Tamandua tetradactyla: one gene and its partners. The protein of the gene in region 3 interacts with the protein of the main gene of each other region in a pairwise test. Links are inferred from orthologs where the notes say so. Each region holds a gene or a part of one and is shown on either strand. Other genes may lie near its edges.

Region 1 (3,748 bases), on a different chromosome or scaffold from region 3:
GGGCTCACACAGCCAGGCCTCCTCGCCGGCCGCCAGGTAGGTCACCGCACGGGGCTGGGCGCCTGGCCGGGAGCGGCCGATCTCAGCTGCGTCCAGGCCCAGGCCGGTCGCCAAGTGAGCGTGCCCCGGAGCTCGAACCGCGTCGCTGGTGGCCCTACGTCCACCCGGCCGCCTCCGGGCCTTGGAGCCGCGCCGGGAAGGCGCCACGGACCCTAGGGGAGGCCGAGGAGGTACCAGGGGGAGGAAGAGGGGAGCGCGCTCTCTGCCCGCGCCCTCGCCCGGCCTTTCTTCCTGCAGGTTGTAAACGCAGCAGTTCTGGCGCCCAAGTGGCGGCGAGCAGCGGCCCAGCTACCAGGGCTGGGCCCGAGACCCCCTACCCACACCTACTCTAGGGGTCCGCGCCCCAGATCCCGGCTCACTCCGGAGTCTCCGGGGAGACGGGCGCGGTCGGGCTTCCCGGTGTCCCTGAGCACACCCCGGCAGTCAGGATTTGGGGTGAATGGGGGCTTGAGGAGGAGCTCGGGGCCTCTGCAGAGAGAGAGTCTGCAGTTCCGGGGAATATCTAGGGAATCGGGGCCTCCCAAGGGATTTGTGCAGGGTGGCTGAGGACCCCAGGATATTTGGAAGCAGATTCGGGGATCCCGGGTTTCCTGGTGTCGACATCGCGTCTCGGGACATCTTGGGGACATCAGGGTCTCCGGAGATATTGAGGGGGGCGCATTTGGAGCCCCAGGGAATTGGGGAGCAGTCGTGGACCTCCAGAAGCATGCAGCGAGTGGTTGAAGGTGTCCAGGAATAGTACAGCGAAACGGCTGTCTCCAGGGGCGAGTGGAGTTCCACGGGCATACCCGAGACGGTCGGGGGGCGCGGGAGAGGTTGAGGGGCAGTCGATGTCCTCCGGAACTATCGAGGGAGTGAGTGGTCAGGGGTGTCCGGGGACCTCGAGGGGCATCTAGGCTTCGGACGTCTGGAAGCATGGGGGTGTTCCGAGGCTGAGGGTGGGCGCTGACCTGTCCCCCTCCCGCTCAGGCCGCGGCCCTGCCCCGCCCGCGGGCGCCAGCGCCCGGCAGCTCCTGGCGCGGCTCGACGCGCGCCCCCTAGCGGCCCGAGCTGCGGCGGACGTGGCGGCCCTGGCGCGCAGGGCAGGAGCAACATTGCGCCTGCGCCCCAAGGAGGGTGAGTGACCCTGCCGCGGTCCTCTGGGGAGGCGGGGAAGAAGGGGAGCTGCTGGGTGCTTTGGAGGCGGCAGGACCCAGATCGTTGGGTACTTCCCCTGGTTGGGGCCCAGAGGCGTGAGTTGAGGGGGCGGGGCTGGCATCGCGTCCCAGGGGCGGGACCCGGTGTTATCCTAGATTGTTAGTGTAGGAAGTGCGCCGTGCATGGGTAATTCCAGTAGGCAATGCCAGAACTGTAAGGGGGGTGGGCGGGGCGGGCCTGGATAATTATTTCCGCCAGCGGGTCTTCGATTGTTGTTTTCTGAGGGGGCGGGTGCTGGAGGGTTATTGCGGTGAGGAGATAAAGTAGAAGAGGGGCGTGGAATGCCAGTTAAGGAGCAGACGGTGCTTGAAATGTCAGGCATTTTTGAGGTTCAGAGGGCGGGCCTGGAATGTTTGGGAGCCCAATCCTGGATTTTCACTCTCCCAGGTGTATCTAAGGGTATTATTTGAGGGGATGGGATTTGGGGCGTTTTAGACACGGGCTGTAGTATTATTCACATAGCCCTGTCTGGGATTATGAATTAAGAGGTGGGGTCGATATACACACAGTGGAATACTTTTCAGCCCTAGAAAGGAATGAAGTTCTCATACATACTACAACGTGGATGAGCCTTGAAGACGTCAGTTGAGTGAAATAAGCCAGACGCTAAAGAACAAATATTGTATGATCTTATTATATGACATAATTAGAATGTAGGCTGCCAGTGGCAGGGTGGGGAGTGGGGAGTTAAAGGCTTACACTGTACAGTGTTTGTTTGGAGTGGTGGGAAAATTTGGTAATGGTGATGGCATCCCAGTACTGTGAATGTAATGAATAACACTGGTTTGTATACTTGCGAGTGGTTGACATGGGGAGTTTTAGCTTGTATATGTATTGCCACCATTAAAAATACAACCCGTAGAACTGTACAACACAAATTTTGAACCCTAATATAAACTATGGAGTTTATTTAATAATATAATTATAATGTTATTGGTTCATCAATTGTAACAAATGTTACAATATGCAATGTTAACAATGGGAAAAACTGGGTGTGAAGGGATGTGTATGGGAACTCTACTTTCTGCATGATTTTTCTGTAAACCTGCAACTGGTGTTCTATAAATACATACATATTTTTTTGTTGTTGTTTTTTACATGGGCAGGCACCAGGAATCAAACCCGGGTCTCTAGCATGGTAAGGGAGAACTCTCTGCCACTGAGCCACCGTTGCCCGCCCTTAAAAATATGTATTTTTAAAAGTGCTCTAAAATAAATTAAGTGCTCTAAAAATAATTGTTTTAAAAACTTTATGGTTTTTTTGTGGTGCAGACCTAGGATGATTACTTGAGGGGTGGGGCCTAGATAGTTCTTTAGGTGGGCAGACCCGGATGTGAGTTCAGAGGGTTGAAAATGGCATGTTAATTTGTGGGGTGGGGTTTCCGTGGTTTATCCAATTGTACTCAACTGCGTTCTTATTATGTTCTATCCTTAGTTGCTATCCTGCTGGACTCTGCAACCATCAACATCATGGTTAGTTGCCTGCCCCGAGTCCGCTTTGCCATCCGCGTACAGGTCCCAGCATGACAAAGACAGTAAGGTCTGAGAAACAGTGAACATTTTGGGGGGAACTATGACAGGCCTAGGGTGCTGGAGACTGCTTTATTCAAACTTGGGGAGGGGGCGGAAGATGAGGATCCTAGCAGCTGAAGGAGAACAGTGGACAGGGCCTCACTGAGAATCCCGGGCAAGCCCTGAATATAGAGAATTGAGTAAGAACCCAATTGGGTAAGAAGGGCAGAGTGGCTAGGTTCAAGTGTGACTCTCCACCACCAGCTTCTTGACCTTTTATACTTCATTTAATCTCTGTATGAAAAGCTTAATTGCCTGAATATAAAAGTAATAGATTAATATCTTAAGGATGAGAACTGTGTAAAGTCCATATTTTTCTGTCGTTATCTCTTCTTTCTGACTTTAAAAATTTGTAGAAATTGGGGATGCGAGGGTACGTCAGTGGAAGAATTCTGGCTTACCATGGGGAGACTGGGGTTCGATTCCTGGCCCATGCACTTCCCAAACAAAGAAAACAAACCAACTAAAATAAACAAAGTTCAACAAATGATGCTGAAATAACGGGCTACTCACATGGAAAAAGAATGAAATGTGACCCTGCCATACAGCATACAAACAAAAAAAATTGTAGAAATTTGATTTAACATATATGAAATCATGGTAATGTTTTAAATCCTACTTTTTCAAAACTATTCTAACAGCTTTATTGAGCTATAATTCACATGCCATATAATTCACCCATTTACAGTGTACACTTTGAAGGTTTTTAATATATCCGCAGGGTTGTACAATCATCACTGCAATTGTAAATTTAGAACATTTTCCTTTCCCTAAAAGGAAACCCATACCTACTAGCAATCACTTCCTGTTCTCTAACTCTAATTAGCCCCCCCCAAGCCATAGGCAACCAGTAATATATTTTCTGTCTCATAGATTTGCTTATTCTCAACACTTAATAAAAATTGACTACTACAATATG
Region 2 (3,748 bases), on a different chromosome or scaffold from region 3:
GGACCTTTCTGCCAACGTGGGGCAGAAATCCTAGCATAAGCTGGGGCTCAGCATCAAGGGATTGAGAAAACCTTCTCGACCAAAAGGGGGAAGAGTGAAACGAGACAAAATAAAGTGTCAATGGCTGAGAGATTCCACAGGTTATCCTGGAGGTTATTCTTACACATTAAACAGATATCACCTTGTTAGTCAAGATGTAATGGAGAGGCTGGAGGGAACTGCCTGAAAATGCAGAGGTGTGTTCCAGTAGCCATGTGTCTTAAAATGATTGTATAATGATATAGCTTTCACAATGTGACTGTTGTGATTGTGAAAACCTTGTGTCTGATGCTCCTTTTATCTACTTTATCAACAGACAAGTAAAACAAATGGAATAAAAATAAATAATAGGAGGAACAAATGTTAAAATAAATTTAGATTGAAATGCTAGTGATCAGTGAAAGGGAGGGGTAAGGGGTATAGTATGGATGAATTTTTTTCTGTTGTCTTTTTATTTCTTTTTCTGAATTGATGCAAATGTTCTAAGAAATGATCATGATGATGAATATGCAACTATGTGATAATATTGTGAATTATTAACTACATATGTAGAACAGAATGATCATATATTAAGAATGTTTGTAAAAAAAAGAATGTTTGTATTTGTTACATATTTTTTAAAAATTTAAAAAGAAAAAAACTGAAGAAAAAAATGGCTTCTAAAATGGCAAATTTTACATTATATCTATTTTGTGACAGTAAGAAAAAAGTCAGGCAAGACATATTAATAGCACATATTTAGGTACTACCTGTGGTCTGTTCTCAGTGCTTTAAAATACGCACTCATTTAATCTGCACAACAGCTCTATGGCAGGGTTTCTGAGCCTCAGCACTCTTGGCATCTGCAGCCGGATCATTCTTTGGGGTAGGGGCCATCCTGTGCTATAGTTATAGGCTGTTGGCAGCATCCCTGGCCTTGACGCCAGCAGCACCTTCCCCCCACCAGCAGCGATGACCAAAAATATCTCCAGACATTGCTGACTGTCCTCTGGGGGGACAAAACTGCCCTGGCCGAGAATCACTGCTGCCACTGATTGCTATGGCCAAGGGACAGGGGATATGCGGTTTCTTAAAGCAAACAGTTTCTGCTCTGGCTTGTGGTAGATGTGGGGACAACTGGTTTGGCAGAAGCATAAATGCTGCGGAAGCAACTAGTAAAGTCTCACTATACTCACCTTTGGCTAAATCCTTGGAGATGAGATTTTCTTCTGCTATAAACAGAAAGGGTAGGTGCGCTTACTATACCTGATTTATAGGAAAGGAAATGTTATGCCTATTTTGCCACAGTATTTTTCCCCAAGGCACAGAGGAACTCATTCTCCATCACAAAGTGAGTGAGCCAGGTTTATGAAACCAGTGTGTGTGGTTCCCGAGTGAAGCAACTGGCCACAAAATGGACTGGCTTGCATTTTAGCCCATCAAGCTCTAATTTGGGGGACATCTCTGGCACTAGGTTCCAAGACTGCTGTACCCCTCCCCCAAAGCCTACAGACTCCAAAAAGCTGTCACATTTCATTTTACATACTCCTTCAAAATCTGTATCTTTTTCCTATTAGCATGTATTAAGTCATTTTTCTTTTAAGGAACCTGGAGTGGTCCCATTTGCATTTCTGCATATCCCCCCTATATGCAGAAGCAGCAAAAAAGCAGTGTCAACCTGGACAAATACCTGAGGTTCGAAGCTTCTTCCTTTTACTCATCTCAGCTTTCCCTTGAGAAACCTGAAGACAACAAGCAAAGACCTTCCATTATAACAATCTGAGTCAGTGGTTCCAAGAGCAGATACCAGCCCCACCCCACTGGGCTGTCCAGCTGCCCCAAGGGGTTCATGGGACCCAATAGGATACAAGGTGGGGGTCACAGTCTTTGTCCATGGCACAAGATCTGCCACCTTAGCCAAACGCCAGGTAAAAACCTCCACGTTGCAGTGGGACTGCCCACCTTATGTCCACTGACCCAGGTGAGTCTGGGCAGCATGTGGGCATAGGTGGTCCTCTGTGGGAAACCCTCCTCTAGTTCCCCGGGCTGCAACAGCCTGTGCCGAGCCCTGAGTTCCTGCTGGGGTACCTAGAGCCATTCCAGGAGCCACCGGGGGTCCCTTTACTTGAACACCTGGGACTTTTAAGGGGGCTCTTAGATGTCTTTAGGGAAGGCTTGGGCCCTTGGAGGAGCAGCAGTGACCCACGGACCCATTTCTTTCAGCCTCGAGTCCCGGTTAGCCAAAACCCACCTAGGCCAGAGAAATTGTGGAGGTCCCTCTGAACTTGGCAGCAACTAGCGCTTCCTGGATCTGTTAGGGTAAAATCAGTCAAATTATGTGCATTAAATTATTTTGAGAAAAAAAGACAAAACTAATGCTTGTAAGGAGTTGAAGGAATGGAGGTCGAGGACTGACGGGACGGGAGGCCTGAGGCCTGGCGCTGTGGAACCCCGTTTTTCGGCCACTAGACCCGCATTAACCCTACACCGGACCCTGAAACATGAGGACTCCTCAGGCCCGGCCACCCAGGTGGGACCGGCGCCCGCAGGTGGCGAAGGGAAGCCGACAACCGCGCAGCCGCCACCGCCTCTCACACCTGCACACGCTCCGCCTCTTTCCCGCGCAGCGCCAAGGCAGGCAATGCGCATGCGCGACACAGCCCCCACCCTCACGTTCCGCCTCTTTCCCCGCGCCACCCACGATTTCACCCGCCTTCCCGCTCTGCGCATGCGCTCCTGCGCGCTGTCTGTCGGGAGTTGTAGTTCGGGCGGCGGACCTGGCGAGTTTAGTGGCCGCGCTCCCTTGCGGTGACGGCTTCCCAAGGGCCGAGGCGGAAGTGGGGCGGTCACCCCGGGGGGCGAGAGCGAGGGCGCGGGGCGCTGAGAGAGGGGACCCGCGTCTCCCGTGAAGAGCGCGTGCGCGGGAACAGGCCCCGGCGCGTGGGGGGGGCGGTGAGGAGGCAGGGCAAGGCCGGGAGCCGGCGCCGGTGGTCTGGGGATCCAGCCTAGACGATGCACAAGAGGAAGGGACCCCCAGGACCTCCGGGCCGAGGCGCCGCCGCCGCCCGCCAGGTGAGTTAGTGCCCCCTCGGTCCCGCCCGATGCACCTTCCCTACCCCTATCACACGCTTGGGGGGGGCCCCACCCACCAGGGGCGCTGATCCCCGCCCTCCAGGTGAGACCCGGTCCCCGGCCCCCCCGCCCCCACCAGGGGAGGCCGCTCACCCCTGGCCTTTCACAGTGCGGCCTCCAGGGCCCGGCCCCCCCAGCTCCTGCCGTCTCGTTCCGGGCTCGGGGCCACCTGTTGCCGCAGCAGCTCTAGGTCGCTAAGGCCAGGCCCAGAGTTCCCCATCTGCACAGTCATAAAATCTCACCAGTCCTGATCTCTGACCAGGTGACAAAATAGAGATGAAGACACCTGCCCAAGGTCATAGGGATTAACTGCTTGACCAGAAATACAAATGGAAAGCTGCTTTCCTCGAGCTCCCCAGGACTGTGGCTGAACCTCTCCCCTCCCTTAGCTCCTGTACCCCAGACACCCAGCACCCAGGCGTTCAGCTTTTCTCAGCTTTGATGGAGGGAGCCCAGGGCATGGTTCAGTGACCAGGCCTTAGTCTGGTAGGCCTAAAATTTCCCTCCCGCACCTGCACATTGGACACGTGCCTTCACAGCTTTGTGCCTCAGTTACCTCATCTGTAAAAGAGAGATCCTAAGCATCCTAGTAACACCA
Region 3 (3,748 bases):
TCAGAGACCACAACCGCATTATTTACAATCGCCAAGAAGTGGAAACAACCCCAGGGTCCATCGACAGATGAGTGGGTAAACATGACATATAAGTACAACAAACTATTGTTCAACCATATAACGGAATGAAATTCTACATGTATTTGCTACAACCTGGATAAACCTTGAAAGTATTATGTTGAGTGAAACAAGCAGACACAAGGAGCAAAGATAGAATTCCATTTACATGCAATATCTTGAATAAGCAAATTCATAGAGACAGAAAGTAGATCAAAGGTTGCTGGGGCTAAGGAAAGAAAGAATGTGTAAAACGTTTCTGTTTGGAGTGGGAGAAAAGTTTGGGTAATGAATGAATGCGATGGTAGCACATGAATTTAATTAATACTAGTACAGTATAACTTAAAAATGGCTAAAATGGGAACTTCTGTGTTATATATACTATCACAATAAAAAAAAGACTAAAAAAAGCCATGTTATATATTATTAGTATTTTACGCTTGACCTTTAATGTATTAATGTATTAAGTATTAATGAATACTTCTTACATTCATCTATGAAAATGATAAAAAGATTTTTAAATTCATAGCACCATATTTGTTTAGGAATTGTGGCATGACCATCTTGCCAAAAAGGTCTACTTCGTGCATGGGACCAATATATTTTACATTTAAAGAACAAAATGAATAAAATAAGACTCTAAGAAATTCAATTTGTGCTATAACAAACTGGAGTTATATCAGACTATAGTATACTTTTGATATTATAACAGGATAACAAAAATAGAGCAATGATACCCATTTCAGTTATAGTATAAAATTTCTTAAAGTTGATTCTCAAAATAATCTGCAGGTATGCCCTCAGAAAAAGCACAATAAATAAAATCTCAACCATACAATATGCCTAGTAATAATATCTACATCTCGGTTATGCTGTGTACCTTCAGAATAACTTCATTAGTATATAACAGTTACATAAATCATCAACTACTAAAACTGATTAATGCTAAACTGTGGCCAGAAATGCATCATTTACTGTCATAAAAAAAACATTAGGTGAAAAATCACAGGTATCATTCAAGACCTTAAAATAACTTCAGATATTATCTGGCCCAGTGGTTCTCAACCCTGGTTGCAATTACAATCTCCTCAGCGGGTTTTAAAAAGATGCTAATAACAAATGAATCAGCATTGGGGAAGGAGGATTGCATCTGCAGCTGTTAAAAACTCTTCCGTGATTCTAATACGCAGCCAGGGATGAGAAATACCAATTCCTTAGATTTCAGGTGATCCTGAAGGTCTCTCTAACAGCCACTGAAATCAAGTCTTCAATTCCATATATAGATAGATAGATACATGCCAAGAGGAAAAATGAGTCCCACGTATTTCAGGCGGATTTTTAACAAAGGCATTTTGGACTACTTACATACACACCGTAATTCACAAACACTAGCGTTAAGGCCGTGCAACGCTGCAACTGGAGACTCCTTAAGCGCGGACGGACGGCACTACCAAGTGCGGAGGAGGCAGTTCAACCAAGAATAGACACCGCAGTACAGAACCAGTGCAGCGGGGAGACGTGCACACTTCAGAAGCCGCCAACCCTGGCTCTACCGCACACTGCCACCTACCCCAAATCAAATCCTCATCTGTAAAACGGGGATCAACATCGGCCTCACAGATATTAACGACCGAAAGCACCTAACACTACCTCACAATATCCCAATTTAATAAACAATAAGCGAACTAATGCCTGTTACGGTAAGCCAAAACCCGGGCACAGGCAGCTCGGGTCACTCCCACAATCTCCTTTTCAGAAACGTCCCCGCTGGCGACGTCCAGCACAGGGCCGGTCCGAGCAGGAGACCAGACAATCTCGGGCCAGCGGACCTCGGGTCGCGAAGAGCAGCGCACGGCTCGGCACGCCCGGGGGGCGCAGAGGCCCCGCACCCTTCCCTTCCACGCCTGGGCCAGGCTTTCGGGACGAGCCCCGAGAAACGGAGGCCGACGGTGGACAGAGCACGCCAGGTCCCTCACCTTCACCACGGCCGTCCCTCGGCTGCCCTGCCGGCCGCTGTCTAGACCTGCGCCGGGCTTGTTTACAACCAGGGCAGCCATCCTGGGCGCAGCGGAGCGGCAGAAGCAGCCTTCACGGGCTTCAACGCGGCGGCGAAGGCGAGCCACCTACCCAGACGCCTCGGCGACCGCGGCCGGCGTGGGGCGCGGGACGACGCTGCGCGCGCCCGGCCGGCGGCCGCGGACCGGTTCTCCGCGCGCCGCGTTTTGTTCGCTCTGTTTTTATTGTTTGACTGGTATTAAGGAATGTGCACCTGCTAGGGGAAAGAAAGTCAAGAAAAAAGGATGGGATAAGACAGAAGTAAAATCTGTGAGTGAAACTTGCGCTTTTGTAAAGAAGTCTCGTCCCCACTGCCAGACCGGGCGCAGGAACTACATTCCCCTAAATGCAATGCGGCATTATAAGAACTACAAATCCCAGCATGCCGCGCCTCGCTGCTTACTCGCTGGGGAGGGCATCTGGGCGGCGGTGTATGGTTACCTGGAAGTGGTTTGATATGCGGTTGTAGCCTGAATATGGAGAAGTATTTCATGTATAGATATCTAAGAGACAGGGATTACCTTTGGTGAAAAGAAGCTGTTGGAGCCCTAAAGAACGGGGTAGAGGGAGAATTTAAGGCACCGCTGGCTGAGAAGCTGTTAGAAGTGTTTGACGCGCGGGCTTCCCGAGCGCGCGCTTCCGTGTTTTCTTCTGGGCCGGGCTGAACCTCTGCGGCCCCCGTAGGCGGTGGTACCGGTCAAGATGGAGGTGAATCCCCCCAAACAGGAGCACCTGCTGGCGTTGAAGGGTAAAGTATTGCTAACTTGACGCCCCTTATTCTATTTTTGTTTGTTTGTTTCCTTTTTCTCACTGATTCTTGAAGCCTTTGACATGTAGACTTGGCGTCTGAGGTGTAGTCCTCGCCTTTCTTAAAACGGCGTCAGGGCTGTGCCTCCTGCTCTGCGCCAAGGGACCGAGCGGGAGGAAGCGATTTCGCTTCTTCGCTTTTTAGGCTTGAGAGCCGCCCTCTAGAATGGAATGACACCTCGTACATTACCCTCTCTGATCATGCCCGTGCGATCATCAAGCAGAATTTAACCGCAGAACCTGCTGTATGGACTCTGTTTGGTGATTTCCCCCTTGAACGAGGGTGATTTACAGCGTGCATCCAAAGTGCTTTTCATAGTCTCAGGTCTCTTCGTGTGGCACTGACAGAGTTACCGGGCTGCAGCTTCTTCTGTAAAATTAGTGTAGTATTATGACAACAGTGCCAAGGATTTAGAAATACACAGTATTACACCATATAGCTGAGGTTTGTTAAAACTTACTTTATTTCAAAGCATTATGTATAGGGGAAATAGGTCCAAGATCTCATGTCAATTTTCTATTTTTGTACACCTAAAAACAATTTTTGAGTAAGTTTAACGATTTAATTAGGTCATTATTTAAGAGAAAAAACAGCAGGAATTTAAGGTTTTCCTGGAATTCCTATTGGTTTCTGAAGACCTTTTATTTGAAGTGTTTCCGGCCTTAATTCATGTTTTTTACTATCACAAATGCACTTTTTATTTTTAAGATGCTCTAATATGTGGATACATTTTTGGATTGAGCTACACAAGTGCTCAATGGGCATTTTAATTCATTTGACTTGTACTTATCTTCCTTATGGCATCCATTTTGAGGGATCATAACAGGC

What was found.
Region 1: the proteins of TRIM23 (region 3) and GPKOW interact in binary tests that used the Homo sapiens proteins (3 or more experiments, as listed by UniProt). The two-hybrid records come from large-scale screens. The link is inferred for Tamandua tetradactyla from reciprocal best matches to the Homo sapiens genes TRIM23 and GPKOW.
Region 2: the proteins of TRIM23 (region 3) and BRME1 interact in binary tests that used the Homo sapiens proteins (3 or more experiments, as listed by UniProt). The two-hybrid records come from large-scale screens. The link is inferred for Tamandua tetradactyla from reciprocal best matches to the Homo sapiens genes TRIM23 and BRME1.

What each region holds. Positions count from the first base shown.
Region 1 is NC_135353.1:121,049,928-121,053,675, forward strand, and holds the start of GPKOW (G-patch domain and KOW motifs-containing protein), read left to right. Parts: upstream 1-1,201; 5' UTR 1,202-1,264; intron 1,265-2,692; 5' UTR 2,693-2,730; exon of another isoform or gene 2,731-2,797; intron 2,798-3,748. UniProt on the Homo sapiens protein: RNA-binding protein involved in pre-mRNA splicing. As a component of the minor spliceosome, involved in the splicing of U12-type introns in pre-mRNAs.
Region 2 is NC_135337.1:88,891,703-88,895,450, reverse strand, and holds the start of BRME1 (break repair meiotic recombinase recruitment factor 1), read right to left. Parts: upstream 2,655-3,748; 5' UTR 2,616-2,654; intron 2,610-2,615; exon of another isoform or gene 2,435-2,609; intron 2,330-2,434; 5' UTR 2,270-2,329; intron 1,761-2,269; 5' UTR 1,740-1,760; coding exon 1,709-1,739; intron 1,251-1,708; coding exon 1,215-1,250; intron 1-1,214. Other genes in the region: CC2D1A (coiled-coil and C2 domain-containing protein 1A), read left to right, coding at 3,031-3,090. UniProt on the Homo sapiens protein: Meiotic recombination factor component of recombination bridges involved in meiotic double-strand break repair.
Region 3 is NC_135335.1:113,431,002-113,434,749, forward strand, and holds the start of TRIM23 (E3 ubiquitin-protein ligase TRIM23), read right to left. Parts: upstream 2,191-3,748; 5' UTR 2,115-2,190; coding exon 2,034-2,114; intron 1-2,033. Other genes in the region: TRAPPC13 (trafficking protein particle complex subunit 13), read left to right, coding at 2,815-2,860.